4 linked regions of the Ovis aries genome follow. The main gene of each other region encodes a partner of the protein of the gene in region 2 in a complex. Links are inferred from orthologs where the notes say so. Each region holds a gene or a part of one and is shown on either strand. Other genes may lie near its edges. The genes, in order: ODAD4, ODAD1, CLXN and ODAD3.

What was found.
Region 1: ODAD1 (region 2) and ODAD4 share a complex: the UniProt entries of both Homo sapiens proteins name them as parts of the outer dynein arm-docking complex. The link is inferred for Ovis aries from reciprocal best matches to the Homo sapiens genes ODAD1 and ODAD4.
Region 3: ODAD1 (region 2) and CLXN share a complex: the UniProt entries of both Homo sapiens proteins name them as parts of the outer dynein arm-docking complex. The link is inferred for Ovis aries from reciprocal best matches to the Homo sapiens genes ODAD1 and CLXN.
Region 4: the proteins of ODAD1 (region 2) and ODAD3 are in contact, whole or in part, in a cryo-EM structure (PDB 9CPB), measured with the Bos taurus proteins. The link is inferred for Ovis aries from reciprocal best matches to the Homo sapiens genes ODAD1 and ODAD3. Residues at the interface, in XP_024834988.1 of Bos taurus: Leu31, Gln32, Gln34, Cys35, Met38, Glu41, Arg42, Tyr45, Val49, Arg52, Ile53, Gln56, Leu57, Glu59, Ile60, Leu63, Glu64, Val66, Arg67, Leu70, Arg71, Gln73, Ile74, Ala77, Gln78, Asp86, Arg89, Leu90, Ser92, Met93; in NP_001095517.1 of Bos taurus: Gln69, Leu73, Lys76, Ile77, Leu79, Leu80, Asp83, Arg84, Phe87, Tyr88, Thr91, Asn94, Ile95, Asn98, Gln99, Thr101, Ile102, Leu105, Arg106, Glu108, Thr109, Leu112, Gln113, Gln115, Leu116, Leu119, Gly122, Asp123, Val126, Ala129.

The regions. Positions count from the first base shown.
Region 1 is NC_056064.1:41,851,420-41,858,580, reverse strand, and holds part of ODAD4 (outer dynein arm-docking complex subunit 4), read right to left. Parts: intron 7,090-7,161; coding exon 6,931-7,089; intron 6,609-6,930; coding exon 6,412-6,608; intron 2,080-6,411; coding exon 1,979-2,079; exon of another isoform or gene 1,306-1,978; intron 399-1,305; coding exon 314-398; intron 1-313. UniProt on the Homo sapiens protein: Component of the outer dynein arm-docking complex (ODA-DC) that mediates outer dynein arms (ODA) binding onto the doublet microtubule. Plays an essential role for the assembly of ODA-DC and for the docking of ODA in ciliary axoneme.
Region 2 is NC_056067.1:54,787,090-54,794,346, forward strand, and holds the start of ODAD1 (outer dynein arm-docking complex subunit 1), read right to left. Parts: upstream 4,370-7,257; intron 4,108-4,369; 5' UTR 4,068-4,107; exon of another isoform or gene 3,706-4,067; 5' UTR 3,683-3,705; coding exon 3,613-3,682; intron 2,411-3,612; coding exon 2,311-2,410; intron 2,153-2,310; coding exon 1,963-2,152; exon of another isoform or gene 1,602-1,962; intron 1-1,601. UniProt on the Homo sapiens protein: Component of the outer dynein arm-docking complex (ODA-DC) that mediates outer dynein arms (ODA) binding onto the doublet microtubule. Involved in mediating assembly of both ODAs and their axonemal docking complex onto ciliary microtubules.
Region 3 is NC_056062.1:32,838,480-32,846,392, forward strand, and holds the start of CLXN (calaxin), read right to left. Parts: upstream 4,277-7,913; 5' UTR 4,180-4,276; coding exon 4,122-4,179; intron 165-4,121; coding exon 6-164; intron 1-5. UniProt on the Homo sapiens protein: Component of the outer dynein arm-docking complex (ODA-DC) that mediates outer dynein arms (ODA) binding onto the doublet microtubule. Seems to regulate the assembly of both ODAs and their axonemal docking complex onto ciliary microtubules.
Region 4 is NC_056058.1:13,531,593-13,538,753, forward strand, and holds part of ODAD3 (outer dynein arm-docking complex subunit 3), read right to left. Parts: intron 5,855-7,161; coding exon 5,733-5,854; intron 5,626-5,732; coding exon 5,548-5,625; intron 3,572-5,547; coding exon 3,401-3,571; intron 2,846-3,400; coding exon 2,744-2,845; intron 2,644-2,743; coding exon 2,518-2,643; intron 2,308-2,517; coding exon 2,185-2,307; intron 1,443-2,184; coding exon 1,290-1,442; intron 1-1,289. UniProt on the Homo sapiens protein: Component of the outer dynein arm-docking complex (ODA-DC) that mediates outer dynein arms (ODA) binding onto the doublet microtubule. Involved in mediating assembly of both ODAs and their axonemal docking complex onto ciliary microtubules.

The sequences.
Region 1 (7,161 bases), on a different chromosome or scaffold from region 2:
ACCAGAGAAAGCCTGCGTGCAGCAACAAAGGCCCACCACAGCCAGAGAGTAAAATAAATGATACAATAAACGAATGCATCTTTTTAAAAAATACAGAAGTATGGAAGAAATAGGGCAGACAGCATGGGATCTGACCACAGGCTGAGGGGTCCCCCTCCTGCCTTGGGAACGGCTGCTGGCGGCACAGAAATCAGAATGTTCAGTGGGCAGTGCCAAGCCCAACTGATGGGGCAGCAGGAAGCGGGGCGAGGACAACTGGAAGGAGAGCAGAGGCAGGTTTCTGAAGATGCCGTCTTCCAGCTCCAAAACTCACCTTTCTCCTTCTTTTCTTTGAGTATCTCCCTGTAGTTGGTTTTCTTCAGCTCTTCAATGATGCCCTTATTAGCATCATCCAAGGCCTGTGGGTGAGAGGAGTATCAGTGAACTCTCTTAACGCTGTAGGACCTGTCCTTTCCCCACCCAAGCCCCAACCCTGCCCCCGGCCCCTTCCTCCTGGCTCCTCTGACTACTCCTGCCTGAGGTTCATGGATCCTATGGACTTGGAACTCCCCACGCTAAGTGGTATGAGAGATACACCACTGGGGGTGACTCAAACTCATTTCCCTCAGACTCAGGCATGTTTTAAGGGGTTGCGTCTGTCTGCTGATTCCTAAAGCTTCAGCCAAATTAAAGGAGACAAGGCAAGCCCCTCAGCCTGCAGCCAGGCAGCAAGCCATGGAGGGGACTCAGCAGCACACCGTGGGTGGGGGTGGGGCTGGGGGCTGGCCTGCCTTCAGAGCGGCTTCCAGGGCCTCTGCAGGACAGCCAGGGACTGGGAACTCAGCCTGTGCTGTTTCTTGAGGGCAACGCTGCTCTCTTGCAGCCCTCCCTGTGACTTGCCGTGGGTGGAACACCTCTAGACACTCAGGGAATGTCTACAGCCCCTGGATCGCCAGGCTTGGATGTTCTTGGGCAGTGCAGTCTGCCCCTTGGTATGCTTTCCTGCCTGGAGATGCCAATCAGGGGGTGAGAGGTCAGGGACTAGGTCCCTTGAGGAGCCATTTAGGGCCGTGCGTCTGTTTGGCTTGATGGGCACTTCTCTCTGTCTCCTACTTTCAAAGCCCTGCCCAGCCTCCGAGGTGACCTCGAAACCTCCGCCTCCGTGAGGGGAAAGGCCCAGCTCTGCCTGCCCGCTGGAGTTCTCAGTCTGAGTTCCCTAGTCCCTGCCGCACCAGTCAGGAGTGAGGGACTGTGTTTTCAGCTTCCCGAGGGCCAGGGCCACGTCATCACCTTTGGTGCAATGCCGGAAAGACTCTAGATCTGCACCTTGTGTTACCCAGAGGCCTCACGTGGCAACTGATCACTTGAAATGTGGCTGGTGTGGCTGAGGAACTGAACTGCAACGCTCGTTTACTTCTAACTCCATTTATGCTAAACGCTGCAGGTGGCTAGTGGCCACCTGACTGAGCAGCGCAAGTCTGGACTGGTGAGTGAGGCCATCACGCTCCTTTTCTATTATCTTCTGTGGGGGCTGCACTTTTCCAAGCGCAAGTCCTAAAGTCAGTTTACAGGGTCTCAGCCAGCATTAAAGACAAGGAATGAGAAGAAAAAAGAAAATAGAGTAAGAAATACAGTGTACACAATAAAGGTAAATATGTTTTGTAAAACTTGCTATTTTTCATGTTTTTTCAAATAAAACTATGTGTATTGAGGGGAATTCCCTGGCAGTCCAGTAGTTGGGATGCTGACTTTTACTGCAGTGGGTGTGGGTTCGATCCCTGGTTGGAGAACTAAGATCCCTTAAGTTGCTGTGCAGTGTGGCCAAAACAAAGTTAACAGTATGTGTATTGGTTGGGTTGCTATATAAACTGATGGCAACAACAGACACTGGAAAGCCACTGCCCGACCTAGAAGGTGCTCTGCGGTTGGGGGGAAATAAACATCTGGGGCTGAGGGTCCCGGGGCCTGCCCATCCCCAGCCCCAGAGAGAGAGGCTCACGTTGATGATGGCCTGCTGCGCCTCATTGTTATGGACCAGCTTTGCTCTCTCCAGGGCCTTCTCAAAGTTGTTCACGGCCGATTCGAAGTCCCTCAGCTTCACTGAAGGGCACAAGGGAGCATGAGGATAGTGACATAATATCAGTGTACATATTCAGGGTACAATAGTAGGGTACCAGGGGCCCTCAGGAGCAGCAACACCAGGCTGCCCAGCGCCACCCTTTCCAGACATTTCCTGGGCCACCTCACCACTAGGGAACAGAACCTGGGCACTGGAGCCTTGGATTTCAGGTGCCAAGAGTCAGTGAGGGAAGGGGTCTGTGCCCACATCACGTGTCTCCAGGGGGACAACTCCATCCTGCCCCACTGTTGCCCTAATGGTCTGGGAGTGAGCGACGAGAATGAAGACAGAATGTGAAATCTGGTGCAATGGGTCAGGGGACCAGCAGCCTCTACTGGACTGAGGTGCAGAGTCCACTCTGAATCCAGCTTTTATCCCTAACTGCAGACCATAAGACTTTCTCAGATCTTATCTTTCTCAAGACACATGCCGTATCAATCACATACTCCTAAACAGCATGGACTACACTGACATAGTCCAGAGCTCCTTGCGTTTACCCCAGTCCATTCCCTTCTGGGCTGGTCTTGGGAACAATTAGCAAGTGTGTAGGCAGCGTTCATGCCTGACGCTGACCCAGCATTCCAAGCTGTATGCTTTTATGATCCCAGTCATAATACCTTCTGGGTCTGGCCCTGGGGTTTGTAACAAGGCTATAACTCTAAGAAGACATGAAAAAGAATCATCAATATAGTTTCTTAATATATGCTGTTATTCCAAGTGCTATTTCTGTGAAATTTCTCAAGGCCATGAAATTACATTATTAGGAATTCCCACTATACCCCATCTTTAAATGGTTCCAGGAGAAGACATCTATTTTTTTTTTTCTTTTTTAATGTTTACTCAGATTTGTTAAGAACACTGTGGACACCAAACACAATCTGGCAGGACTGGATGTGACTCTTCATGAGCCAGTGGCTGGGACATCAGTGCCCATGTTGGAATAATCTGAACCCAGGAAGGAAGCAGCCCCCCACCCACCCCAGGGTACTCACCTGACCAGTTAGCACTGGGCCAGGGATGAGGGCTATGAACTGACTGCCTTTGGAAAAACCTTAATTTCAGGAAGGAAGGAGAAAAGTGCTCGCCTGCCAGGGCTGGGAACCCCACACTTCACTCTCTTTACACACCACTGCTTCCGCTTTTTTTAAAAAATTAATTAATTTGGCTGTGCTGGGTTTCAGTTGTGGCATGCAGGATCTAGTTCCCTGACCAGGGATCAAACCCGAGCGCCCTACTTTGGGGGCATGAAGTTCCAGCCACTGGACCTCCAGGGAAGTCCCTCCACTGCTTCCTCTTGTAACTAGCACCCCAAGATCTACCCCTCTCCCACAAACTGCTTTAGGATTCCTGGGGAAAGAAGGGCCTTGGATCCACAGCTCAAATTGCAAAAGGCAATTACATTTGAAAGGTGATTCTAGCATAGTTTGAAAAGTCTGTGGCGTCAACATACATTTCTTTCTCAAATACACATTTGAAAAGAAGAAAACTCACAGTAATGCCTCAGAGGCCTCCATGAATAAATGTCTACGTCATTCTGACATGGTAGGTCAGAATAGGAGTCAACATTCAAGTGAGTGGAAGCATTAAAGACCATTCTATTTGTTTTCAACTGAATCTATAACCTGAAATTATCTCCATTCTGGGGGCCCTTTTCCTCTTCTTTTCCTCACTCTGTGCATCCACAAATCCACACAGGTATATCCATATTTTTGTTGGCTTTTCCAGGGACTAATTGTTTCTTACCACTGTTGGAAACACTTATGGGAAGCTGATGGGGAGGAAGGAAGAAATGAGTATTTCCTGAGAGCTTGTTATATGCTGGTTCCTATTCTAAGTGCTTACATGCGCAGCCATTACCTCATGTCTTCACACTATGAAGAAGATACGTACACACTATACGTGTCAGTCGTGTCCGACTCCTTGTGACACCATGGACTGTAGCCCTCCCAGGCTCCTCTGTCCATGGGATTCTCCAGGCAACAATATTAGAGTGGGTTGCCATTTCCTTCTCTAGCATACATACTATAATTATCCCTATTTGCAGAGCCCAAGATCTGCCCGCTTGGCCAGGCTGCCTCTATAACCCAGGGGCTCTTTGGCTGCTGTGTTGGACTGGACTTTTCCACCATACAGCATGGAAACTGAGGCCAGTAGTGAGTGGCCTGCTCCTCCAGAGGCCCTCAGAGCCTAACAAGACCTCATCAGGGACAGGAATTCCCTGGTGGTCCAGTGGTTAAGACTTCACGCTTTCACTGCCAGGGCCCGGGTTCACTATCTGGTCAGGAACTAGGATCCTACAAGCCCTGTTGCAGTGCAGCCAAAAAGCAAACACAAAAAAAGTCATCACAGAAACAGCAAAGGGTTCTAGGAAAAGGCACAGTAATCACATCTTCCCCAGTTTCAAGCTTTCAAGTGGTTTTTTCCTCTATGTTTTTAGGAAAGAATCCACGATGTGTAAGGAAGCCTGAGAGGCCCTGTGGATCTGGCTCTTCACCAGCCTCCCTCCTCCAGACTTTCCTGGCCCCCAGAAGCTCAACACTGGTCTCCATCAGTTTCTTAAATCAGCCAAACTCTTGCCCACCTCCCTAAATGCGGTTCCTTTGGCGGAAAAGTTCTGCCTTCAGAACTTGGAACTGGTGCCTTTGTGTTCTTAATGATTCTGCTTTAAAGTTACTCCTCAGGGACTTCCCTGGTGATCCAGCGGTTAAGAATTCGCCTTGCAATGCATGGGACGAGGGTTCGATCCCTGGCCATGGAACTAAGATCCCACATGTCTCAGAACAACTAAGCCCACAAGCTGCAACTACCAAGCCCACACACCACAAAGGAGTACCTAGCTGTGAAAGACCCACGTGATACAGTGAAGATCCCATGTGCTGCAACTGACACCCAGTGCAGCCAAACAAATAAATATTAAAAAATAGTCACTCCTCAGATAGGAGGGCAGGAACAGTTACCAATTTTGCTTCCTACTGTATGCCCAGCTTTGGTGCCTAGAAGGTGCCAGGAAAGCATTAATGATGTGAGTAAGTGAATGAGTGATGAGACCCGTGATCAGAGTGCCTGTCATGCTTACCCCCTCTCTGGGGTCAGCCGTGTGCCCAGGGCAGGGCAGGTCCGAAACTGAACAGAAGACCCAGCTCCGCGGCTTCCTTATTACTGTGGCCTAGAGCTACTTCTCCTTTTAAACTTGTATTGTGAAATATTTCAAATATACAGAAAAGTCAAAGGAATAGTATCATGAATCCCCATTACTCATCACCTAGATTCAAATATCATATGATGTCACTTCCATGTGGAATCTAAAAAAATGATACACGTGAACTTATTTACAAAACAGAAACACCCAGAAAACAAACTTATCAAAGGGGAAAAGGTGGGGAGGGATAAATTAGGAGGTTGGGATTAACATATATATTAATACACTACCGGGGGAGCCCGGTGGGCTGCCATCTATGGGGTTGCGCAGAGTTGGACACGAACGAAGCGACTTAGCAGCATTATATATAAAATAGATAATCAACAGGGATCTACTGCACAGCACAGGGAATTCCATTCAATACTCTGTAATAACCTACATGGGAAAAGAATCTGAAAAGAATAGATATATGTATTTGCATAACTGAATCACTTTGCTGGTCACTTAAAGCTCACACAACATTGTAAATCAACTATATTCTAATATAAAAGTTTTTAAAAATTATCAGAACATTGCCAATCCTGTTCCATCTGTTCCTCCTCACCCCTATTCCTTGCTGTTTTATTAACAAGCCCATTAACTGTATTGAAATATGATTCACTCAGTATAAAATGTACCCCTTTGTAAGTACACAGTTCAATGATTTCTAGAAAATTTATAGACTTGTGCAATGAACACCACAACTCAGCTTGAGGACTTTCCCAGCCCCCTAAAAAAGCGCCCTCTCGAGACCTGGGGCAATCTGCAGCACCACTCAGAGTCTCCGTTTCCCAGCCTATAAAAGGAGGACAATACCTCCAGCACTCGCTTGCAGAGTGATTACAGCGAGAATGCATGTATAAAGGCTACTGAGCCAAGAGGAGTGCAGCTGTTTCGATGAGGATGTGACACTGTGCTGGCCTGCCTGCAGCTCAGCTGAGTTCCTCAAGGGCAGGGCAGTTCTCTGGGTCTCCCAAGCCCTAACTGAGTGTAGCTTAGAGTAGGCACTATACACACTGGTCAAAACACGGGGGTTTATCCCCACTCTCAGAATCAGGATTTGTCTGGCCCATCAGGAGGGAAAGTTCAGCGCGGGCGTCACGGCAGGGCCTGAGGGCTGGGAAGGGCACTGTACCTTGTGCCTGCGCCACCAGGACGCTGGCATTCAGCTGCCACTCCATGTCCCCTTCTTCCTCGGCGCACTGTTGGGACTTCTCACCGTAGCTCTGGGCCTCCCAGGCCTGGTCTAGCTCCAGGTAGCAGCGGCCAATCTCATGGAACAGCCAGGTCTTCTCCAGGGTGGTTTTGGCCAGAGGGATCTTCTCCTCCCACCTGGAGACACCAAGAACTGGGTCAGAGTCCTCCACTCAGGCCCTGTACTCGGACTTAGGAGGCTGGGCTTCCTACTGGTGGCAGAAGGAAAACTGTCCTCCAACTACCAGTTCTTTTAGGTGCAGGAGTGGAGCTAACAAGCACTATCATATTTTTTAAACTACCAGGGTTATTTTGGTGCATCTATAGAATTGGCTTTGATACCACAGTTGAAAATAATGCTTGTAAAATAGCATTTGAAATAACTCCATAACCTTTGAAAGTCAAAGTGAATTTGCTCAGTTGTGTCCGACTCTTTGCAAACCCAAGGACTGTAGCCTACCAGGCTCCTCCATCCATGGGATTTTCCAGGCAAGAGTACTGGAGTGGGTTGCCATTTCCTTCTCCACGGGATCTTCTCGATCCAGGGATCGAACCCAGGTCTCTCTCATTGCAGGCAGACACTTTACCATATGAGCCACCAGGGAAGGCCACACATAACCTTTAAGAATATGATTAAGCACATTTAAGAGAAAATCAACACAATGAAAAAGACTGGGATGAAAAAACAAAA
Region 2 (7,257 bases):
ATTTTTTAAAAGAAAGGAGCCATAAGCCAAGGAATGCAGGCAGCTTCTAGAAGCAGGAAAAAAAAGCAGGAAATGGAGTCTCCCCTGAAGGCTCTTAAAGGAACACAGCCTGCTAACACCTTGATTTTAGCCCAGTGAAACTCATTTTGGATTTCTGTCCTCCAGCACTGCCAGATAATTCACTGGTATTACTTTAAGTCAGTTCAGTTCAGTCGCTCAGTTATGTCCGACTCTTTGAGACCCCATGAACCGCAGCACGCCAAGCCTCCCTGTCCATCACCAACTCCCTGAGTCCACCCAAACCCATGTCCATTGAGTCGGTGATGCCATCCAACCATCTCATCCTCTGTTGTCCCCTTCTCCTCCTGCCTTCAATCTTTCCCAGCATCAGGGTCTTTTCAAATGAGTCAGCTCTTCACATCAGGTGGCCAAAGGATTGGAGTTTCAGCTTCAACGTCAGTCCTACCAATGAACACCCAGGACTGATCTCCTTTAGGATGGATTGGTTGGATCTCCTTGCAGTCCAAGGGACTCTCAAGAGTCTTCTCCAACACCATAGTTCAAAAGCATCAATTCTTCAGCACTCAGCTTTCTTTATAGTCCAACTCTCACATCCATACATGACCACTGGAAAAACCATAACCTTGACTAGACGGACCTTTGTTGGCAAAGTAATGTCTCTGCTTTTTAATATGCTGTCTAGGTTGGTCATAACTTTTCTTCCAAGGAGTAAGCATCTTTTAATTTCATGGCTGCAATCACCATTTGCAGTGATTTTGGAGCCCCCCAAAATAAAGTTAGCCACTGTTTACACTGTTTCCCCATCTATTTCCCATGAAGTGATGGGACTGGATGCCATGATCTTAGTTTTCTGAATGTTGAGCTTTAAGCCAGCTTTTTCACTCTCCTCTTTCACTTTCATCAAGAGGCTCTTTAGTTCTCTTTAAGTCACTTTAAGTCAAGTAGGCAGTAATTCGTTACAGCAGCAATAGCAAACTAATACAGCCCACCAAGATAATTAACTTTCAATCTCCTATTTGTGATCCAGTAATGTGCAAGAAATCTTTTGGTCTCAGCAAACAACTTTTTTTTTAAGATTTTTTTGATGTGGACCATTTTTAAAATCTTTATTGAATTTGTTATAATATTGTTTCTGCTTTGTGTTTTGTTTTTTGGGCCCAAGGCATGCAGGATCTCAGCTCCCTCACCAGGGATTGAACCAGGACTCCCCAGCATTGGAAGGCAAAATCTTAACTATTGGACCTCTAGGGAAGTCTTTTGGCAAGAAACTTTTTAAAATGAAGAGTAGAATTGAAAATAGAATGGAAAAAAAAAAGAAAGAAAATATAATGGATCCCATGTGGAGAAGAATATTATTTGGGGAAACTTTTGTTTCTGACATATTTGTTTGTATGTGTGTTTACATCCATATGCATCTCTTTGTAAATGAACTGTGTCACAGTGAGTCCTGGTCCTAAAAACTGAAAAAAACACTCGCCTAGAAAAGTCACGTTTCCAGGGTCAAATAACAGGATCTTGAAGCCAACAGGATGAAAAGTCGGTCTAGACTCTGCTGCATTACCCACATTCTCTTTTTGCAGATGAAGAAACTCGGGCCCAGAGAGAAGATGACTTGCCCACGGTCACGTAGCTCTGATGCGCCTGGACCAAAATTCTATTATAATGCAGGGTGCACTGACTCCAGAAGGTGACTCTTGCCCTCTTAACCGCTTTTTTGAAGGCATGGGGCTGTGCTAAGCAGTAAAGACTCATAATTCCTATGGGAGCCTGAACACAAACTCCCTTGAGAGGATGCTTTCAATAACTTTCAATAACCCCATTGAAACGATCCCATTTTGATGCTTTCGATAACCCCACTTTTCAGATGAGGAAGGTGAGGCTCAAAGAGGTTATGACACTTGACCCTGAGCAGGACCCACCGAGTCTGGCCCCAGGACCCACCTGCCTGTCCAGGGCTTGGTTCTGCGCCTGCAGCTCCTTGACCTCGGCCTGCACCCGGACCTGGCACTTGAGCAGGTGGCCCATGCTCTCCAGCCTCTCGCTGTCCCGCAGCCGCCTGACCTGGCTCTGGGCGACGCTGATCTGCACCTGCAGTTTGTTTCGCACCCCCTCCAGGCGCTGGATCTCCTCACTGCCCAGGCAGGGAGGGGGAGGGGAAACCAGAACCGGGCAGAGCTCAGCATCACTGAAGTCCAGACAGACTGAGCCTGCCCTCCCCTCTCAGACCCAGGAATGCAACCCCCCACCTCCTTAACAGCCCCCTCCCCAGCTCCAGGGACCCAGGCTCACAGCTGCTTGTTGATGCGCTGATGGACTTCTTTGCTGTAGGCTCGCCTTTCGTCTTCCATCACTTTGCACTGTCGCTGCAGTCGGCTCAGCTCCCAGTCCACTGAGGCGCGGGACCAGGCAAGGGATTCATAGGAATCCAGCCCCTCCCTCTCCAACCCTAGGAATTCTGGCTCCCTTAGGGGCTCACCAACTGCAGCTAAACTGCAGACCCAGTCCCCCGCACCACTCTAGGGCTGCCTCTCAGTTCCTGTATCTCTCAAGCTTCCTCATCCCTGCATACTGCCTGTACCCTAAGCTGACCTCCGCGTTTCCCCGGCCCCAAAGCTACTTCTATCCAGGGTTTGGGCATGCCTCTGTTTCCCCACTAGAGGGAACTCCAGGGAAGCCTCACAGTCCTCAGGGACCAGAAGCACAGGACCTAGAACTTGGGAAAGCTGGGGACATGTGCCAAGTTCCCGGGGAAGGGGGGGGACACTTTTCTTGTTACATCCTTCCTGTTCAACCCCACCACCACCCTTCCTCAGCCCCACCCTCCCGCCTCCTCACTCTCAGCCCATCCCCTTGGCTCAGGCCTCACCTTCCCTTGCCTGGACCATCACCCCAGCCTCCTCCCCAACCTCCTGGCCTCCCTTCACAGCTCCAGAGGCTCTTTCCATGCCTAGAGCGGTCACAGACCTCCCTGTGCTCCAGCACCTCCAAAGCTGCAGCTCCACAGCCTGGGTTCCAGGCCCCACAAACCCGACCCTACCCACCTCTCTGGTCCCATCCACTAGCTCCCCATCCCCCACGGCCTGGTTCTCAACCAGGATCAATTCTGACCCCTTAAAGCCATTTGGCCGTGTCTGGAGACATGTTTGATTGCCACAGTGTAGGGGAGGGTCGGGAGGGTACTACTGGCATGCAGTGGGTAGAAGCCAGAGGAGCACTGCGCATCCTCCAGTGCACAGAACCCTCCCCCTAATATCCAAGAATGATCTGATCCCTGACCCCAAGGGTCAACGATGTGGAGGTAAAGAGACTTTGCTTTAGTCACATCCTGTTCTCTCTGCAGAAACACTCTTCCCTTCCTTCTCCTGTTGGTAATTCCTGGGAGAAGTTCTGGGCCTCACTCAAACTTCTGCAGGAAGCCTTTCTAGCCATCCCACTCCCCAGGTCCGGCTCCACCTCCATTCTGGAGCAAGTGTGTAGCCACTAGAGGGCGCTCCTGAAAACCCTCCTGGTCCCCAGGGCCCCGCTGCACAGGACCTGAAACATGGGAAAACCGGGGGAAAGAATGAATGAAATAAAGAAAGTAGGAATTACCCATTCCCTCCAGGAAGGCCTCACTTCCATCCTCGGAGCGAGTGCTCCCAGCCGAGAGTCCAAAAGGCATCTTGGCCAAAGAGGGTGAGGCTCCTGTAGGGGCGACACAGGACCCCTTCAGACGGTGAGGAGTGGGCGAGGAGGGTGGGCAATGAACAGCGAGGGACTAGGCACTGGAAGAGGGTGACCCCAGAACTGGCCTCTTTTTGAGTCTCAATTCCTCCAGTGAGTCAGAGCGGGGCACCTGTCAGATCTCTTCCCAAGCCCCTCCCAACCTCCCACCTCTCACATTCTGTCTTGCGTTACGGCTCTGACTCTGGCACGGGGTCCTCTAGACCCTCGGTATCTCCGAGGTGGGGCTGTTTGGGGAGGAGGCATCACAGAGGCAGGGGAAACCCCAGCCCCGGTCGGCTGAGGAGAGCGAGGCCCGGTCCCTACCTGCTGGAATGCCTGACCTGTCCTGGGTACTCCAAGCTCACTGTTGTGGTCTGGTTACTGGGGAGATAAGGGGCCAGTGAAGGTGTGAGGACAGCATCCGGGGAGGGACCAAGGCCACAGAAGAAAGCCGTGGGAGGGGAGGCTAGGGAGGAGGGGCCGACGAGGCCACGACGAAGCCTTCACGGTCAGGTGCTAAGAACAGATGAGTTAGGGGAGCATTACGAGGGCGGGGCTTCGGGGGTGCTGCGAGGGGCGGGGCTGAGGGCGGGGCTTCGGGAGTCCTGCGAGGGGCGGGGCTGGGAGGGCCTGTGAGGGCCGAACTGTAAGCCTTGTGAAGGGCGGGACTGTAGGCCGGGCGAGGGGCGGAGCTGTGGAGGACTAGGATGGGCGGGGCCGAAAGGGGCCTTTGAGGAGAGGGGAATTGCGTGAGCCTGAGGCGCGGCGCTTCGGGGCTAGCGAGGGAAAAGCAGAGCTGAAGGACTGGAGAGGGCTGGGGCTGCGGGACCTGACGAAGGCAGAGACACAGATAACGGTCCAGAGCAGGGCTGCGGAGCTTTGAGAGGGGAGGGACAAGAGTACCTGTAAAGGGCAGGGCTGCGGGCCCTGTGAGGGGTGGGGCTTCGGGGGGTGGCGAGGGGCGTGGCTGGGAGAACACGTGAGAGACCTGGCGGGAGGGCGCTGGAAGGACGCAGGTTCCCAAGACTTGTAGGGGGTGCTGAGGGTAACCGCCGAGATGATCTGTGTGAGGAGCACGGGGTTGTGAGGGGTAGGCTGTGTGTTTCCAAGAGGGAGAGGCAGTAGCTGAAAGAGCTTGTGGAGGCAGGGCTGGGAGGGGAACGTCCGGAAGGGTTTGGAACTGGGCCGAAGTCCTTCAGGATGGGGCGCGAGAGATGCGTGTATTAAGCTGATTAAGACCACGTTATTTTGAGGCTTCATTGGCAGGCAGGCGGTACCGATGCCGGGAGTTGTGAGGGAGAGGAGCGCTTACCACTGCCTCAAGTCCTCGAAGCCGCTCACTACGCATGCGCGGCCAACGGCCTCAGGAGAGACTGCCAAAACCTTCAGCTGCCGGAGCTGTCCGCGCTCTGCGAGGCGGAAGTGGGCGGGGCCTAGGGCGCTCCGCACCGCCCCTGCTTTCCGGTCACGCCCTCCCGGGCACGCCCCCGAGCTCCGCAGGGCACGCCCCCCCCTTTGACTGCCGCCTGCTGCCCACGTGGGCCTTCGCAGAGCCTGCTGTCTGTGGGCGCCGCTCCTTGCAGGCTGGGTGTGCCCAACGCCTGCGGTTTCCTGTGGGAGGAAGAGGCCCGCGGGCGCTCAGCTCGTGGCTTTGGAGGCCCAGGAGGGGAAGATTCCACCACCGCCCTCCGCTACCCTAATTCTCCCCCTTCTGTAGGGCCCTAGCATGGGGGACCCCCTGCCCGGAACATCTCCAGGGTACCCCAACCTGGCGCTAATTCCACTCTAGGAGTTTGATTCAGAGTCCTAGCTTCCTGTTCTCCACCTCCCCCGCTCAAATTCCATCTCTATAGCCCCTGGTTCCCAGACTCCTCCCAGGACTCAGGTCCAGCCCCTTTGCCTCCTTGAAGAACATAACGATCTCTAGTCCCTCATTTTTCCCCCGGTGACCCAGGCTTCCTAATTTACTTGGAGAACTGAGTTCAGACCCCCAGTCTCTGTCCTTCTCAAAGATGTAACTACTTTACCCACCCCCAGCGACCTTCATTTTGTACTCCCAAATTTTTAGACTTGGGACCCAATGGACCCAAGCATTTGTCCCTTCTCCAAATCCCAGACACCTCATCTCCCATGTCCCAGTGTGTCATGTAACATGCATGTACAACAGTGCTTTCTCTATGCCAGGCACTCCTCTAAGCATTGCTCCTTGAGGTATTTACTATTATTATTCCTATTTTACCGATGAAGACACTGAGGCATAGAGAGATTAATAACCTGCCCCAAATCACAGATAATGAATAAAGCCTATGTCATAGTGGTAACAGCTTCCAGGTTAGGGTTAGGAGTACCACCCAGTCACTGAACTGCCCCTCCCTCACCCCCTCAGGGAGCCCAGATAACCAACCACTCTCCCTCCCTCTCCCTGTGGCTCCCTCAGATACCCAGCCATCCCATCATCCAGTTCCTTTCCCCTGTGGGGACCAAGATTTCAGTCCTCCAGCTCTTAATTCCACATCAGGACCCCAGACACCTGGCTCCCTGTCCCTTGCTTTTCACCAAGCACCCAACCCTCCATAGAGACCCAGGTACATAGTGGTAATCACTCCCCACACTTATTCAATAATCTAAAAATAAATAATAATGATAACAATAATAGTTATTCATAACATTAAGTCCCTGGTACTGCACTTCTGTTTAAAACCGCCAATGGTTTCCCACCACCCTTAGAATAAAATCCAAACTCCTCCCCTAGGCTTCAAGGGCTCTCTTTGAATTCCCTTCCTACCACTCCCTCTAGTTCCCTATATTCCGGCCACACTGGCTCTTCTGTCTGCTCCCCAAACAACTTGAGCTTGTTCTCCAATCCTGTGTCCTTCCTCTCCCTCCAGCATTCAAATAACTCTTGTCTTCAAGTCTCATCTCAGAATGAGGTTTCTCCTTAGAAAAACCTTGCCGGATCACCCTTTTAAAGTTGCCTCCCATCATCAGCAGTGTCACTGTATTTCATTTCCTTCAAAGCCCTACCACCACCTGAAGTCTAGCTACTGTACTGATGCGTCATTCTCTCTCTTGCTCAACTAGAAGGTAAACTCCATAAGAACAGCAGGGCTCGCGTCTGTTTTCTTCATTATTAACTCCTGGTCCATAATAGATGTTCAATAAATGTTTGATGAGGAAAAGAAAAAATGTGTTAGGGGTGTTAGTGCAGTGGTATCGCCTTGTTTGTTTAGAGTAAGTATCAGAATTGTTATCGTTGCCGTTAGTATATAGTCAGCAGTATAAGTAGTACTGTGCCCAACTCTCGATTAGGAAACTGAGGTTCAGAGAGTTGGAATAATTGGTCAAGGTCCCCTAGGCAGGAAACGGTAGCCCTGGGTTCTTAACTTCCACCTCCTGCCCCCTTCCGGAGTTCCACACTTCCCCATTTCCCATCCCAATTCCCACCAGGGTGCCAACCCCACAAGTCCTCAGCCCACTCCCCTTGGCAGGAATCTGGTCTCCCCGCCCAGACACCCATCCCCCTGAGGATCC
Region 3 (7,913 bases), on a different chromosome or scaffold from region 2:
CTCACCCCTGTCCATGATCATGTCGTCTGTCATCCCAAACGTCATATGCAGGATGTTCCGAAAGGCGTTGCGGTCCAGCCCAATGATTACGCCCTGCCGCTCGGTCACTTCTCCCACCAGGTTATAGAAGAGGTTGATAAGGCATTTCACTTCAAATTTACTAACTGGGAAAGAATAAAATTAAGACATAACAAAAGGCATTTTAACCTTTTAAGTCCAGCTTCAACTCTGCATGAATGAGTCTGCAAACAAACAACACTGGAGCCGTCCACAGCCAGCTGTCGACAGGAGACGACCCTGCTTTGAGACTCATGACCCCCAGGTTAACAGAGGACCCCACCACCCCAGAGTCTCGCCACAGCAGAAACAACAGCCATCCCTCCCATGCACTAAGGCTGTCATATTTGGGAAAAAAAAAAAAAAAGATAATATCAGCCAGGTCACCTGAAAGGCAACTGTGGGGTCTGATTATAACCTGAACAAGGCAGCAGAGGTGAGCATGGTGATGTGAAGAATGGTAATTTTCCCCATCATTAAAAAAAAATAATTTTCTTTATTTGTTCATTTTTGGCTGCGCTGGATCTTCACTGCCATGTGCAGGCTTTCTCTAGTTGTGGCGAGCAGGGGCTACTCTCCAGTCGCAGTGCATGGGCTTCTCACTGCGGTGGCTTCTCCTCTTGCAGAGAATAGGCTCTAGGGCACAAGGGCTTGGGTAGTTGTAGCTCCCCGTCTCTAGAGCACAGGCTCAATCGTTGCGGCGCACAGGCTAAGTTGCTCCATGGCTATGGGATCCTCCCAGACTAGGGATCAAACCTGTGTGCCCTGCATTGGCAGGCAGATTCTTAACCACTGGACCACCAGGGAAGCCCTCTGCAGCATTTTGATTACAGGCATTCATGAGATTTACAGTGTAGCGTTCCCCTGGAGATAGATACCAATCTCCCCCACACTAGGCACCAACTTGCATCTCACATTAGCTTTTGTGAAGCCATGAGTCAGATTTTGGAAATCAGAATCACCTATTTTCCAATAAAGGATTTAAGCATATGCTAGCACACAGGAAGTGTGGGCTGTGGGTGATGTGAAAATGAACAGGCAACCACAGAGCAGCACCTTGGAGGAAGAACACTTTTGTCTAAAGCGTGTGCACACACGTGCCTGCTTGCAGTGTGCATGACTGTGGAAAGGGTGGCCCAGTAAACACAGAGCTGATTGTGTCCCAAGCACCATCTGAGGTGCCTAGCTGGAAGGATTAGTGTCTGGCGTTAAGAACATAAAAAGGAGTTTAAATATGAACTACAGGTGGAAGATGGGGAAGATGTTATTTCAAAACATGACAAAATTGTGGTTGAGCATTTTTAAAAACAAGGAAGATGTGTCCATGTACAAGGAAACAGCACAGAGAAGCGGGTAAATCCCATCTCGTCTTTTAGGCCAGGACAGGTTTGAAGGTGATTTCTGGTTTGGGGCACCACAATTTAAGAGGAACATTGAAAACTTCAGAAAATAAATGATTTAGTAAATAGATTGATAAATAGTAGACAATGATACAGTGATTATAATTTTTAAAAGAGCTGTTAGTTGCCACAGAAAATGGTATGAATAGTATGTCACTTCCTCAAAAAACTTAAACATGGAAATACTACACAATCCAGTGATTTCACTTCTGGGTATTTTCCCCAAAGGATTGAAAGCATGGACTCTGATACCTGTGTACCAGTGTTCATACCAGGAGTATTCACAACAGTCAAAAGGTGGACGTAACCCAGGTGTCCAGGGAAGGATGAGTAGATGGGTGTCCATCCATACAATGGACTATGATTCAGCTTCAAAAAGGAGGGAAGTTGTGAATCATGTTACCATATCATAACTCTTGAATACAACATGCTAGAGTGAAACAAGCCAACAAAGATAACAAATATTTTATGATTGTACTTCTATGATGTACCCAGAGTAGTCAAATTCACAGAGACAAAAAAGTAGGTGGTGGGTGCCAGGGGCCAGGGGAGAAGGAAGGGACCAATAGTCTCATGGGGACTCAGTTTGGGAAGATGGGAAAGTTCTGGAGATGATGAGGGGCATGGCTGCCCAACAATACGAATGTACTTAATGCCACTGAACTGTGCACTTCAAATAATTAAAGTGATACATTTTGTGTATTTGTGTAATACACAATTTGTGTAATACATTGTGTGTGTTTAACCACAGTAAAAACTCTAAAAATAAAAAGTGATGTTAATGGTTAGAGAAGAGAGACTTGCATGAAAGATGATGCGATCTGTTCCTGTATATGAAATGCTAGCTGAGGGGGTGTTGATTAGCCATTTTCCCATCTCAGCTGAATAAAAATGAAAGAATATTAGCTTATTACCCAAAGTATCAAAGCTGAGTAATTTTTCCACAGGAAAAATTCTCTTGCTGAAATGTTTCTTAAATTCAAGAATACAATACTAAATGAAATTAGGGACATCGGAGAAGGGATTTTTCATCTTTTCAGATTGGTGTAAGTCTGCTCTGCAGATCAGATCTGCCAGGTGGTGGATTAACTAGACCACCACTTAAGATACTTTCTTCTCTGATTCTGCAAAATCTACTCACTTCATCCTGCTGGGAACATCACCTGGCAACTAAAAGGAAATCTGACTTTAGAAGAAAGGTCTTCTGTGTAAAGTTTCAAAATTATTACAACGTCTATGATTAGTTGCCTGGCCCGGGATTCTCACTGTTTCTACAGAATTTAATCATCAAGTTTCTTAAGACTTACTTTAAAAATTTTATGTGAAGGACAAAAATCAAAACTGTTGACTGGTTTTCTTGTCCCGTTTTCACTTATCTTTTAATATATTCACAGAATGTCTGCAATACATTTGCAAACACACTGGAAAAGGAACTAAATCAGATTCAGTGTTTGCCGTGTATAGTAGTTATTGCATTGTTCATTCAATATGTGACTAGATGTTTTAAGAAAATCTGGTCTTTTCCAACAAATGAAAGTATTTTAAGAAAAACAATAGGACAAAACTCTCAGATTATAGTAACCATAATAATAGATTATAGGACAACTTTCATTTTCAGAGTTTAAGATGCTTATACATACCATAACTTTTATTTGCAGCACCATCCTGACAGACTTTCCTACCTCTCATTATATAAGATACTAACTCTGATTAGAAGGCACTAGATTCCATAATCTTTAAAACTACATCAAAACATGTTTGCTCTTCTTTCTTTGCACCATGGGAATAGTCTTGGGATTATGGTTTCTTGTACTTTTTAAGAGGCCAGTAGTTTTGTAATAAGCACATAACTTATAAGCTGGATCATCAAATATTTATACCAGATCCATAGCTTCCTTGCCCAAGCACAGTTCTGTTTTTGAGTCTGAATACAATTATAAGGTTACCTGTGAAATTCTAGGACCACTTTTCAGAATATGTGTGAGATGGGAGTAGGGAGGTTATTAACATTAATATCTTTCATAGGTGTTCATCTTGTCACCTGCCAAGTCTCCTTCACTTTGCAGGAAAGTGGGGCCCCAGAGATGGGAACAGATACTGTATTGTGTGATTAGCTTTTTTGAGCTCCTTGGTTTCCAGGCACATTTCCTTGCCCTGAGATACAGGTTTCTGTACCGCTTTAACCCACCTTTCCTAAGGATGTTCAACCATTGATAACCACTTTCCCATAAGGTTCGCTTAGTAATGTCCAGAACTTGGACCTTGCCAGTTGGTTTGCTCTAAGAAGAGCTTTTTGTTGTGCTACTTCTCTTGATTCCAGTGGGTTTTTAGTGCTTGTTTTCCACCTAAATCTGAGGCTAGGGCCACATACGTCTTCAGGGTAATTAAATCACATTTCTTATAAGGTAAGGGGAAGTTAAGAGAAGGTTTGAGAAGCAAGCACGTGCATGCATGAGTGTAGAATTTGGTGCCTCGACACCTGGAAACGCTCCCTAAGATCCTGGGCTCTGTGGGTGTCCACCCAAAGTAGCTGATGCTAGTGTTCCCTTCCAGACTTCTCTTTAGGGTCAGGCGTGGAGGGACTCTGCAGACCAGACTCTAGCACCCGCAGGATAGGGCCTGACCCGGGAGTCTCTGCCCGCCCAGCCCTTGATTCTTACTTACAATGCTTGCAATTTTTAGTTAAGGAGTCCGTCAGCTTCTGCAGCTTCTTGCGGTTCATGTTGGGAGCTCAGGAAACCGGGAAGAGGCCGGTGTCCGGCGGCGGCTGCCAGGACGGTTGCGAGCCCTGGGTCTGGGGCTGCAGGCAGGTCTCCCCTGTGTGTGTATGCTGTCCTAACACGCGGCGTGGCCGGGGCAACGTCTGGGCGGCCGCCGATTGGCTGCTGGGCAGGAGAGGGCGCGGTCCTAACAGGCGGCGTGGTCATGGCAACCCTCGGGCGGCCGCTGATTGGTTGCTGGGTCTGAGCTCTCTCACTGGGCATCGGGCCAGGCGCCCTCCGACCGCTTTCCGACTGTGACATCGGCGAGTGACCATCCAGGTGTGTCTGGCTCGGATTCACAACCCCTTTGCTGTGCTGCACCGTAAGTCAAGGTCTGAATTTTGTTTTGCGCTCCGTGCGGGGATGTCTTGGGTGGTGAGCGTGACGCCAGGTCCTCAGGGAGGTCTGGGAACCTGGGGGATGCAGGAATGAGCAGGCGTGGATCCGGACGACAGCTGTGCAGGAAGGGAGGGTGAGGGGCTTGCTCTCAGGTTGCCAGTCCTTTTGCTCTGATGCCAGAAGGGAGTCTGCAGCAAGATATCTTCAAGGTTTTGATGATGTTACTGAGAGCAAGAGGAACTTGTAATAATTATTTATTTTTTTCCCTTCCCTGCTCATTCTTGAGGTAGGCGCGGAGGCTGTCAGTCGAATATGGGGAAAACCCCCTAGCAATTTTTTAAGCTGGATAGAGTCAACCTTCCAAATAAAGACATGCTGACAAAGGACAGTGGCTCTGGGGTACAACCTGAATTTGCTTTTCTGGAAGAATATCCCAGCAAAATGAATCTTTTACTTATTTGAAAGACAAGTTTTTTGACTGCAAACAAAGGCTAATTTTTACATCTTTACTCTGAGAGAAGTTTCTGCTTTTAACACAGATAAGACACCGTGTTTGAATTAAGACAGTAACAAGGGTTAGTTCAGCCAGAAGGAAAAGGTTGTACAATATTCTCCAACATGTCACTTGTTTCACTTCAGAAGCAGTAATTCTTTTTAATATGAATTATTTTATAGTGTGTGTACTATCATTGTGAAATGGAAAGCAGAAAAATTCTACCGACCATGAGTAACGATTCCAAATCAGGTCTCTGATTCTGTTTTCTTTTTTCATTTGTTATGGAATGGAAGACTGGGATGCTGTTTGAATCCAGAGTCAAGGATGCTTGAGGAAGGCAGGCACTGTGTTATCCTGAAGCAGATTCCTTGAGAACAGTAACTAATATGAAATGATAGTGATTGTGAGTTTTCCAGTTAATGGCTAACTGGTATTCCTATGCATAGTCTTGTCGGGCAGGTGTGGCATTTCTAATAGGATTGTAGGGAATGAATAGGGGTGGATGTATTCGGATACATTCACTGTGAGACCTTAGGGACTTGTCAGATGTCAGATATGGCAAATACTTAGTCCATAGAGATTGTTGGGGTGCTCATCGTAGAGACAAGCAGCTGAAAGAGTGGTAGTGGTTAATAGGAGAAGCTGCTGGCCCCTCTTGTGTCTACCAGGTGTGCTGAACAGACACCCTGCTGGCCCATCTGATGTGTCCACGCATCTCTGCACACTTCATGTGCCGGAAGCTTCTTAAGCACCTTTGGGGAGCAGATCAATTCTTCCTTCACAGCTTTCAGGCCTAGGTCCCACCATCCATGTTCCCTCAAAGTGGAAGAGCCGCTGGAAGGCAGTATGACAGAAGCCTGATTAGGAGTCAGAGCTGTCCTACCAGCAGAAATCCCGAACCTGCCAAGAAACCATGGTGAGGCGTCCTGCTCCCACCCTCGCTCCCAGGTCTTTCTTCTGTGTTATTCCTTTAGCCAGAACTTTACAAGCGTGTCATAGCATCTCCCTAGTATCTCAGAGGGTGGGTTGTGGAACTGGCCTCACACCCGTACAGTCTTGCAAACCTTTCTCAGGGAAAGCAGGTATTTATCAGAGGTATGTTTTGTCCACATGTTGGCCAGCTTCAGAGCATTCTCTACATTCTTGTGCCTTTTTGAACTTAGTATTTTTATACCTTAGAACAAGCTGTGGGCCTGATGGAGTCTGCTGAGTGTGTTTTGAGACTGGTTGTAATTTCTGTTCTTAGGTTTAGTTGCTTGTGTGAAAGAGATGCGGGACTGCGTCCCAAGGGCTTTTTCTGAGTGAAGCAATTAAGCCTGAACAGTTACCTCATATCAAGTCAATCAGTAATAGAATAATCAAAAACTGGGCTCACTCTGTGCTGTGTAAGAAATAGCCAATGGACTGTCCAGAGTTCGAACAGCTTTGGGATGGATACTTTTGTGGATACAATGGTGTATTAGAGTGATTATGAGTGTTTCCTTTAATTTTGTGTGCAAAACAGCCTCCTCTTAGACTCACAATTAACTGAAGTTTTGCCATGATAAAGAGCTTGAATGTCAAACTGATGACAGTATTTCACTTAATGTGGACCTTTTATAATGGAGGCATTTGGAAACTGTGGGAGATGACGTCACAGAATCGATTTCCAAGTATATTGCAAATCTACTATGAAATTACTTTAATGAAAGGAAAATATAGAGGTTACTTATCTACATAATTTATATCCAGTTGTACCAGTTTTAGGTTGTAGGGAGAGTGCTGAGAAGTTTTGGGGGGACTGTGGCCAACCTTTTAGACAGGTGACCATCTCTAACCACTTTCTCTCCCCCCTTCTGCTCCCCACAGCCCTCTGACAGCATGGAGCTGTCTCCCCACTCCAGGACTCCCACATGTCCTTCCCCCTGTCCCCCAGGACAGCTCTTCAGAGAGGTGAGTAAATCGTTATCTGCCTGGAGACCATTCTGTTCCAGCACTTCCCACAGTGAGTGATGGCTCTCTGATATGTCTACCCACTGGAATGTGAATCACATGATCCTGCTTTCCCCCCATATTTGTGTCTGTTTTATCTCTGAATCCCTGTGTCTGTCCGCTGTCACCCTTCTGCAGTTCGTAGCACAGCCCATGCTCCGTGGTCCACACTTAGGGAGAGGGAACTGGGAGTTCCTGAGCAGGTGGAGCCTGGAGCCCTTCCTCGGCAGCGCCTATCCTGGAGAATGCCAAGAAGGGACATTAAAGGGCTGGGGAGTGAGGAAGACATTTTCCTGAAATACATACTCAACACTCACTGCTATTAACACATTTCTGGTAACTTTTTGGAATCTTAAGCAAGTGAGTGGTGGGGAGGCCAAATGCCTGAGGTTTACTGAGGGTGGCATCAATTCAGTTCAGTCAGTCAGTCGTATCTGGCTCTTTATGACCCCATGGACTGGAGCACCCCAGGCCTCCCTGTCCATCATCAACTCCCGGAGCTTGCTCAAACTCATGTCCATTGAGTTGGTAATAGCATCCAACCATCTCATCCTCTGTCATCCCCCTCTCCTGCTTTCAATCTTTCCTAGCATCAGGGTCTTTTCCAATGAGTCAGTTCTTCACATCAGGTGACCAAAGTATTGGAGTTTCAGCTTCAGCATCAGTCCTTCCAATAAACCAGTTCAGTTCAGTTCAGCTCAGTTGCTCAGTCATGTCCGACTCTTTGCGACCCCACGAATCACAGCATACCAGGCCTCCCTGTCCATCACCAACTCCCGGAGCTTACGCAAACTCATGTCCATCAAGTCAGTGATGCCATCCAGCCATCTCATCCTCTGTCGGCCCCTTCTCCTCCTGCCCCCAATCCCTCCCAGCATCAAAGTCTTT
Region 4 (7,161 bases), on a different chromosome or scaffold from region 2:
CGTGGGAGCAACCCCAAGGCCAATTTCTGGAAAGACGTCTGGCCATAGCGCTCCAGATGACGCAATACATCCAAGTCCTGGAACTCCTTGGGGGTCACCCCATGGGATGAGTAGTGGGTTAGAGAGTTCCCCAAACAGAGAAATCAGACAGGGATGCAGAGGAATTAGTGTTGACCAGCCAGAGACGTCCATGGTGGCTTAGATGATAAAGAAATCTGCCTGCAATGTCAGAGACCCAAGTTTGATCCCTGCATAGTGAAGATGCCCTGGAGAAGGGAATGGTTACCCACTCCAGTATTCTTGCCTGGAGAATTCCACAGACAGAGGAGCCTGGCAGACTACAGTCCGTGGGTCGCAAAGAGTCTGATGTGACTGAGCGACTAATACTTTCACACTTTCACAGCTGGGGACCTAAAGTCTTAGAAAATTTTGAGGAAGATGCTGCCAAGCGCGGGTCCTAGAGTAGGGGCCCAGCCTCTCTGGGATGGAGGCTGGTACTGGGCCCCAGACCCTGCTATAGAGGCTGAAGATACAGGAGAGGAGAGACAACATTCCCCATTCTCCTAGTGCTGACATGCCAAAGAAGTCAGGGCCAGTGTATGCAGGAACAGGAGAGAGGGGCTTCCCTGGTGGTCCAGGGGCAAAGAATCTGCCTGCCAATGCAGGAGACATGGGTTCCATCCCTGGTCTGGGAAGATCCCACATGCCGCAGAGCAACTAAGCCTGTGCACCACTACTCCTGAGCCTGTGCGCTAGAGCCCGGGGGCTGCAACTCCTGGCCTGTGCGCTAGAGCCTGGGGGCTGCAACTCCTGGCCTGTGCGCTAGAGCCCGGGGGCTGCAACTCCTGGCCTGTGTGCTAGAGCCTGGGGGCTGCAACTCCTGGCCTGTGCGCTAGAGCCCGGGGGCTGCAACTCCTGAGCCTGTGGTCTGCAACAAGAGAAGGCACTGCCATGAGGAGCCCATGGAGCATAGCAACTAGACAGTAGCCGCTGCTCCCAGCATCTAGAGCAAAGCCCACACAACAGTGAAGACCCAGCACAGCCAAATATAAAGAAACAAAATAATGTTTTAAAATAAGGAACAGAAGACAGGATGGTGGCCAGTGTAGATAACTCGTGTCACTTTTGCTGTGAGAGGTAGCAGAGAAACGGGGCAGCAGCTGAAGGAGGGAGGGGTGTCTTTTTTTGTACGCTGAGAACTGACCAGGCAAAAAAAGGAGGCTGGGTTCGTCGGCTTCCCAGGGTCGGCTCAGGCCATCTGGGAACTTGAGGGCTGAGGGCACACTCACGTGCGTTTCTGCCACGCCGGTGGCGTCCTTGACCTTGCCGAAGAGCACCTCCATCTGGTACATGCTCCAGCGCCGCTTCAGCTCCTCCTCCTTGGAGTGCATGCTGTCCTGGAGCGTGTCGTCAGACTGCAGCAGCACATGCTCACGCTGGGTCTGCTCATGGGTGGGGGTCAGGGCCCGGGTCAGTCCGCAGCTGAGGCTTAGGGCAGGGGCCAGGGGCATTGGGAAAATATCTCCCGACCGGGTTCAGAAAGGGGGGTGGGCCCAAGCTTGGGGCCAAGTCAGGGCTTCCCAGGGGTCACTAGGGGTAAAGAGCCAGCCTGCCCATGCAGGAGACACAAGAGAGGCAGGTTCCATCTCTGGGTCGGGAAGATCTCCTTGGAGGAGGGCATGGCAACCCACTCCAGTATTCCTGCCTGGAGAATGCCATGGACAGAGGAGCCTGGCAGGCTACAGTCCATAGGGTCGAAGAGTTGGACACGACTGAAGCCACTTAGCATGCACACACGCAAGGCATCCAGGTAGGGGTCAGGAGTGCTTGGCAGGGCCTTGGTTAGAGGGAGGCCTTAGAGGCATCGTCAGCGGGGTGGGTCAGGAGCGTGGGGGCGGGGCCTGTCGGATAAGGGGACGGTTAGAGGTGGGGATCAATTTCGGATATGGGCAAGTTTGGGGGGAAGGATGAGGACCCCAGGAGAGTAAGGGGAGGGCTGGAGGGCGGGGTCAGGGATGTGGGAGGAGCCCTGGCATCTGGGGAGCTGGGGGCAGAGTCAGGAGAAACTTGCGGACTGCGGAAGGGTCTAGGGCCTGAGCCAACGCAGGGGCGCGGCGGGGACCCCGCGGGTCCGATCCAGGCAGGAGCACGCTGGGGTCTCGGCCGTGTCCCTAGCGCGCCCACCTTGCGCTCCATGCGCTCGTTCTGCAGCTTCTTCTCCTCCGCGCGCTTCTTGCACTCGGTTAGGTAGCGTTCGCGCTGCTTCCGCTCTCGGAACACGGTCTCTTCCAGATACTGCAGTTGGTTCTGGAGGGTGGACGGGGGAACGACAGGACCTGTTGGCGTCTACTGGGGCTCTGGGCCAGGGCTGCAGGCCCAACTCAAGACAACTGCGGCAAGGTGTGGGGTCCTGGGACAGAGACGGGATGGGTTTCGGGGCAGCTGGGGTTCAGATGCTGAGGCCAGGAGACCACGGCAGTGGCAGGGCAGGATTCCCAGGGGCCGGTGGGCTGGCACCTTGGCGATGTCCCTGGCGTTGAGCGCCTCCTGATTCACGAGGTGCAGTTCCTCCAGCTCGTGTTTCGTTCTCACCACCTCAGCCTCCATAAAGTCCAGCCGGTTCCCCAAGTGAAGGCTCTCCTCCTGGGGGTGAGAGATGGTTGAGCCTGTGACCGATGTCCCTAACTTGACTGGCCCTCCCATGTGCTGCCCCCCACCCACCCCCAGTCGCCCTGGTCCCTACTTGTAGGTAGGCCTTGAGCTGCAGGTACACACTGGTGATGTGTTCAGCCTCGTCTGCCTTCATCCGGGCCTTCTCCAGGCGGTTCTCCAGGTTCCGCATGGTCTAGAGGGAAGTAGAGACATCATTTTGCCAACAAAGGTCAAAGCTATGGTTTTTCCAGTACAGATGTGAGAGTTGGACCATAAAGAAGGCTGACTGCTTTCTTTATGCTTTCGAACTGTGGTGCTGAGAAAACTCTTGGGAGTCCCTTGGACAGCAAGGAGATCAAACCAGTCAATCCTAAAAGGAAACCAACCCTGAATATTCATTGGAAGGACTGGTGCTGAAGCTGAAGCTCTAATACTTTGGTCACCTGATGTGAAGAACAGACTCACTGGAAAAGACCCTGATCCTGGGAAAGACTGAAGGCAGGAGAAGGGTGTGACAGAGAATGAGTCTGGATGGCATCATTGACTCAATGGACAAGAGTTCGAGCAAACTCGGGGAGATGGTGAAGGACAAGGAAGCCTGGTGTGCTGCAGTCCATGGAGTCTCAAAGAGCCAGACACGCCTGAGCAAACTGAACAACAACAAGAGGGAAGCAAGCCTGGGCTGGATCCCTTCCCCGCTCAGCGCCTCCCGCAGGATCGGGGCCTCTGCAGACCCGGCAGGCCTTACCTTGGCCATCTCGGTGTTGCTGTCTTGTGCCTCGGCGATCTCCAGCTCGCGCAGACTGTGCTGCAGCTGGAGTTCTTCCAGCCACTTCTGCCGCAGGCCCAGCTGGTGCCGAAGAGCGTTCAGTTGCTTCACCTTTTCGTTCAGCCGGTAGTCCAGATGCTCCAGGGCTTGCTGGAGAGAGGGAAGCAACAGTGGGGGCCTGAACCCCCACCTAGTCCTTCCTTCTCCCACGTCTTGGTTCTCATCTCTCTCGTCTCTTGGTAGAGCCTCTGAAACCTGGCTGATCCTGCTTCTCCTGCAGATTCTCTTTTTTTTGGGTGGGGGGGCTGGTTTCCAGGTGGGCAGCCACCGCCCTGGTTGCCCCTTACCCATCTCCTTTGCCTTTGAGAGGCTCTTCTTTCATCTGACCACACATACCACTTGATACCATCCAGCCTCAGGGTTTTCTGAGTCACGTCTACACTGCATGAGTGCATGCTAAGTGGCTTCAGCCATGTCCGACTCTTTGCGACCCTATGGGCTGGAGCCCGCCAGGTCTTCTTTCCATGGGGATTCTCCAGGCAAGGATCCTGGAGTGGGTTGCCATGCGCTGCTTCAGGAGATCTTCCTGACCCAGGGATCCAACCCACGTCTCTTATGCCTACCCGCATTGGCAGGTGGCTTCTTTACCACTAGCACCACCTGGGAAGCCCCACCTCTACACTGAAGATATCCCAATTTAGCCTCCCCCCTGAGGCTCGTATATCCACATCTACACTGCCTTCTAGATGTCTCCACAGGAAGCTCAAAAACCATCTGTCAAAAATTGAGTATATCCTTGATCTTTCCCCAAAACTGCCCTTTTCGAATCTTCCTCATCTCAGCTCATGGCAACTCTGTCCTTCCAGGTGCTCAAGTCCCAAACCTTCACGTCAGCCTCATCTTCTCTTTTTCTCTCCCACTTACACCCAGTTTGTTAGCAATTCTCTATTCTGTCTCAAAGCTTCCTCCAGAGAGAGCCTGGTGGCTCAGTGGTGAAGAATCTGTCTGCAGGGCAGTAGATGCATGGGTTCAATCCCTGGGTCAGGAAGATCCCCTGGATGAGGAAACGGCAACCCACTCTAGTATTCTTGCTGGAAAATTCCATGGCCAAAGGAGTCTGGTGGGCTACAGTCCATGGGGTCGCAAAGAGTTGGATATGACTGAGCCAGATAGATCTCTTTCTTCCCATTTCTATCTCTTTTGGCCTAGTGTAGCCAGCATCATCCTTCACTTTGATAACCTCCTCTGGATGGCTTCTAACTCTTGCCTCCTCAGAGCCCATTTTCCACTTCTCTCTCTTTTTTTTTTTTAATATTTATTTGGCTACACCTGGTCTATAGTTATAGCACATGGGATATTTAATTGTGGTATGTGGGATCTAGTTGCCTGCCTAGGGATTGAAGCCGGGTCCCTTGCATTGGGAGTGTAGAGTCTTAACCACTGGACCACCAGGGAAGTCCCTTCACTTCTCTGATTCTTAGTATAAAATCTGCACTCGTGCAGCAAAGCCTGATGCAAGGTTCTGTCCCTGATCACCCCCCTAACCTCGCTGCCTATGGAGCCCCCCTCACTCACTCCCATTCTGCCACAATGACCTCCTTTGTGTCTCCAACACTCTACCTTTGTTCCTACCCAAGGGACTTTGCACTTGCTGTTCCATCTGTCTGGAATGCTTTCCCCCAGATCACTACTTGCCTGACCCCTTCTCAGCTCAAAGATCACCTTCCTAAAGAAAGCAAAGATCTCCACCTCATAATCTAAAAGGCAAACCCCTAACCCCCATCCATCTCTAGTGAGCCACTCTGTTTTATTTATTTCTCTTGTCACCATTGGAAATCACTTTCTTTGTATGTTTATTGTTCTTTTCTTGGGGTGGGGGGTGTCTGCTTTCTCCACTGAGATGACTCTGAGGAGTGGGGACATGGTCTGTGTTTTTCACCATATGGCAACCAATACCTAAAGCCATGCCAGGCACATGGTCAGTGTGTGAGAAAGACTGAGAAATAAATTAATGGCAGCTGGTGTGGAGAAGGGATTGGAGAGGGTGAGATGGGGGTCAGGGAGTCAGGTGGGGACCCAGGCTAGAAATGAAGGGAGGTGGTCAGAGGAATGGGAGTGAGGCAAACCTGGCCTGTCCTGTTCTTCAGGTACGGCTTCTCTGACTTCCATTCTCGAATCAGTGCCTGGACCACTTTCTCATCTCCCTGCAGGGAGGAAAGCCTGGGTCACAATACAAATTCCGGCCACCCTCTCCTTGAGAGCACCCCCTGGGGACGCTGCCTCCCCACCCCTGGAACCTCGTCCACCTCACCTGGAGCAGGGCTGTCAACTGTAGTTGCAGTACCCTGGTCTCCTCGCGGAGCTGGTTAATGGTCTCCTGATTCTTCTTGATGTTCCACTGGGTGCTCTCATAAAAGGCCTTCCGGTCACCCTCTGGGGTCATGTGAGGTGGGCAGGCAGAAGCAGAGCATCACGGAAGGGGGGACTTCCCAGAGGGAAGATCTTTTAGTAGGTATCAATAGTATAACAATATTACTCTGAGCATTTGTCATGCATTAGATGCAGGACTGGAGCTTCCCAGATGGATCAGTCGTAAAGAATCCACCTGCCAGTATAGGAGCTTCAGGAGACATAGGTTCGATTCCTGGCCCAGGAAGATCCCCAAGAGTAGGAAATGGCAACTGGCTCCAGTATTCTTGCCTGGGAAATCCCATGGATAGAGGAGGCTGGTGGGCTATAGTCCATGAGGTTGCAAAGAGTTGGACACGACTGAGTGACTGAGCATGCACGTAGAGATACTGGACTAATCCTTTTCTTTTATTTTTCTGTACTGCACTGCATGTGAGATCTTAGTTCTCCAACCAGGAATCAAACCCACACCCTCTGCAGTGAAGTGCAGCATCTTAACCACTGGAAAGCCAGGGATGGACTAGTCATTTTCTAGGTGTCAGATAGGATGTGCCAGTATGTACATACCCATATCCATATTATACCCATTTCACACATGAGAAGGCTCATGCTTATTAGACTGTTCAAGTTCACAAACAGTCAGACTCCCCAGCACATACTTTCAACCACTATGCAACATTACCTCCTAACAACAAAGCAATAAGTTTACACCAAGATTTCCCAACCTCGGCACAACTGACATTTGAGATAGATGATTATTTGCTGTGTTGAACTGTCCTGTGCATCATCAGATGTTGAGCAGCATCCCTGACCTCTACTCATTAGATGCCAGTAACAAACCCCGCCCCCTCGCTGCCCAACAATGTGACAAACCAAAATGTCTCCAGACATTGCCAAGTGTCTTCTGGGGAGCAAAATAGCCCAAGTCCATCGAGAACCACTGGTTCACACTCCATAGTATGTGCCAGGCACTGTTCTAAGCACTTTACACATTTCAACTACCTATGGGGTGGTACTGTTACTATCCTCATCTAATGGTTGGACAAACTGAGAGCAATTACATTATTCTTGGTCCATGAAGATCAAACAATTATTAATAGCATATGTAGGGCCAGTATATTTGAACCCAGAAAATCTGCCTCTAGAATCTATATCCTTCATCCTCCCATGCATGATAGAAAAGTTGAAACTACATAAAAGTAGGGGCTGCCCAGGTGGCACTGGTGGTAAAAGAACCCCCTGCCAGTGCAGGAGACGTGAGAGAAGTGGGTTGGATCCCTGTGTTGGGAAGATCCCCTGGAGAAGGGCATGGCAGCCCATTTCAGTATTCC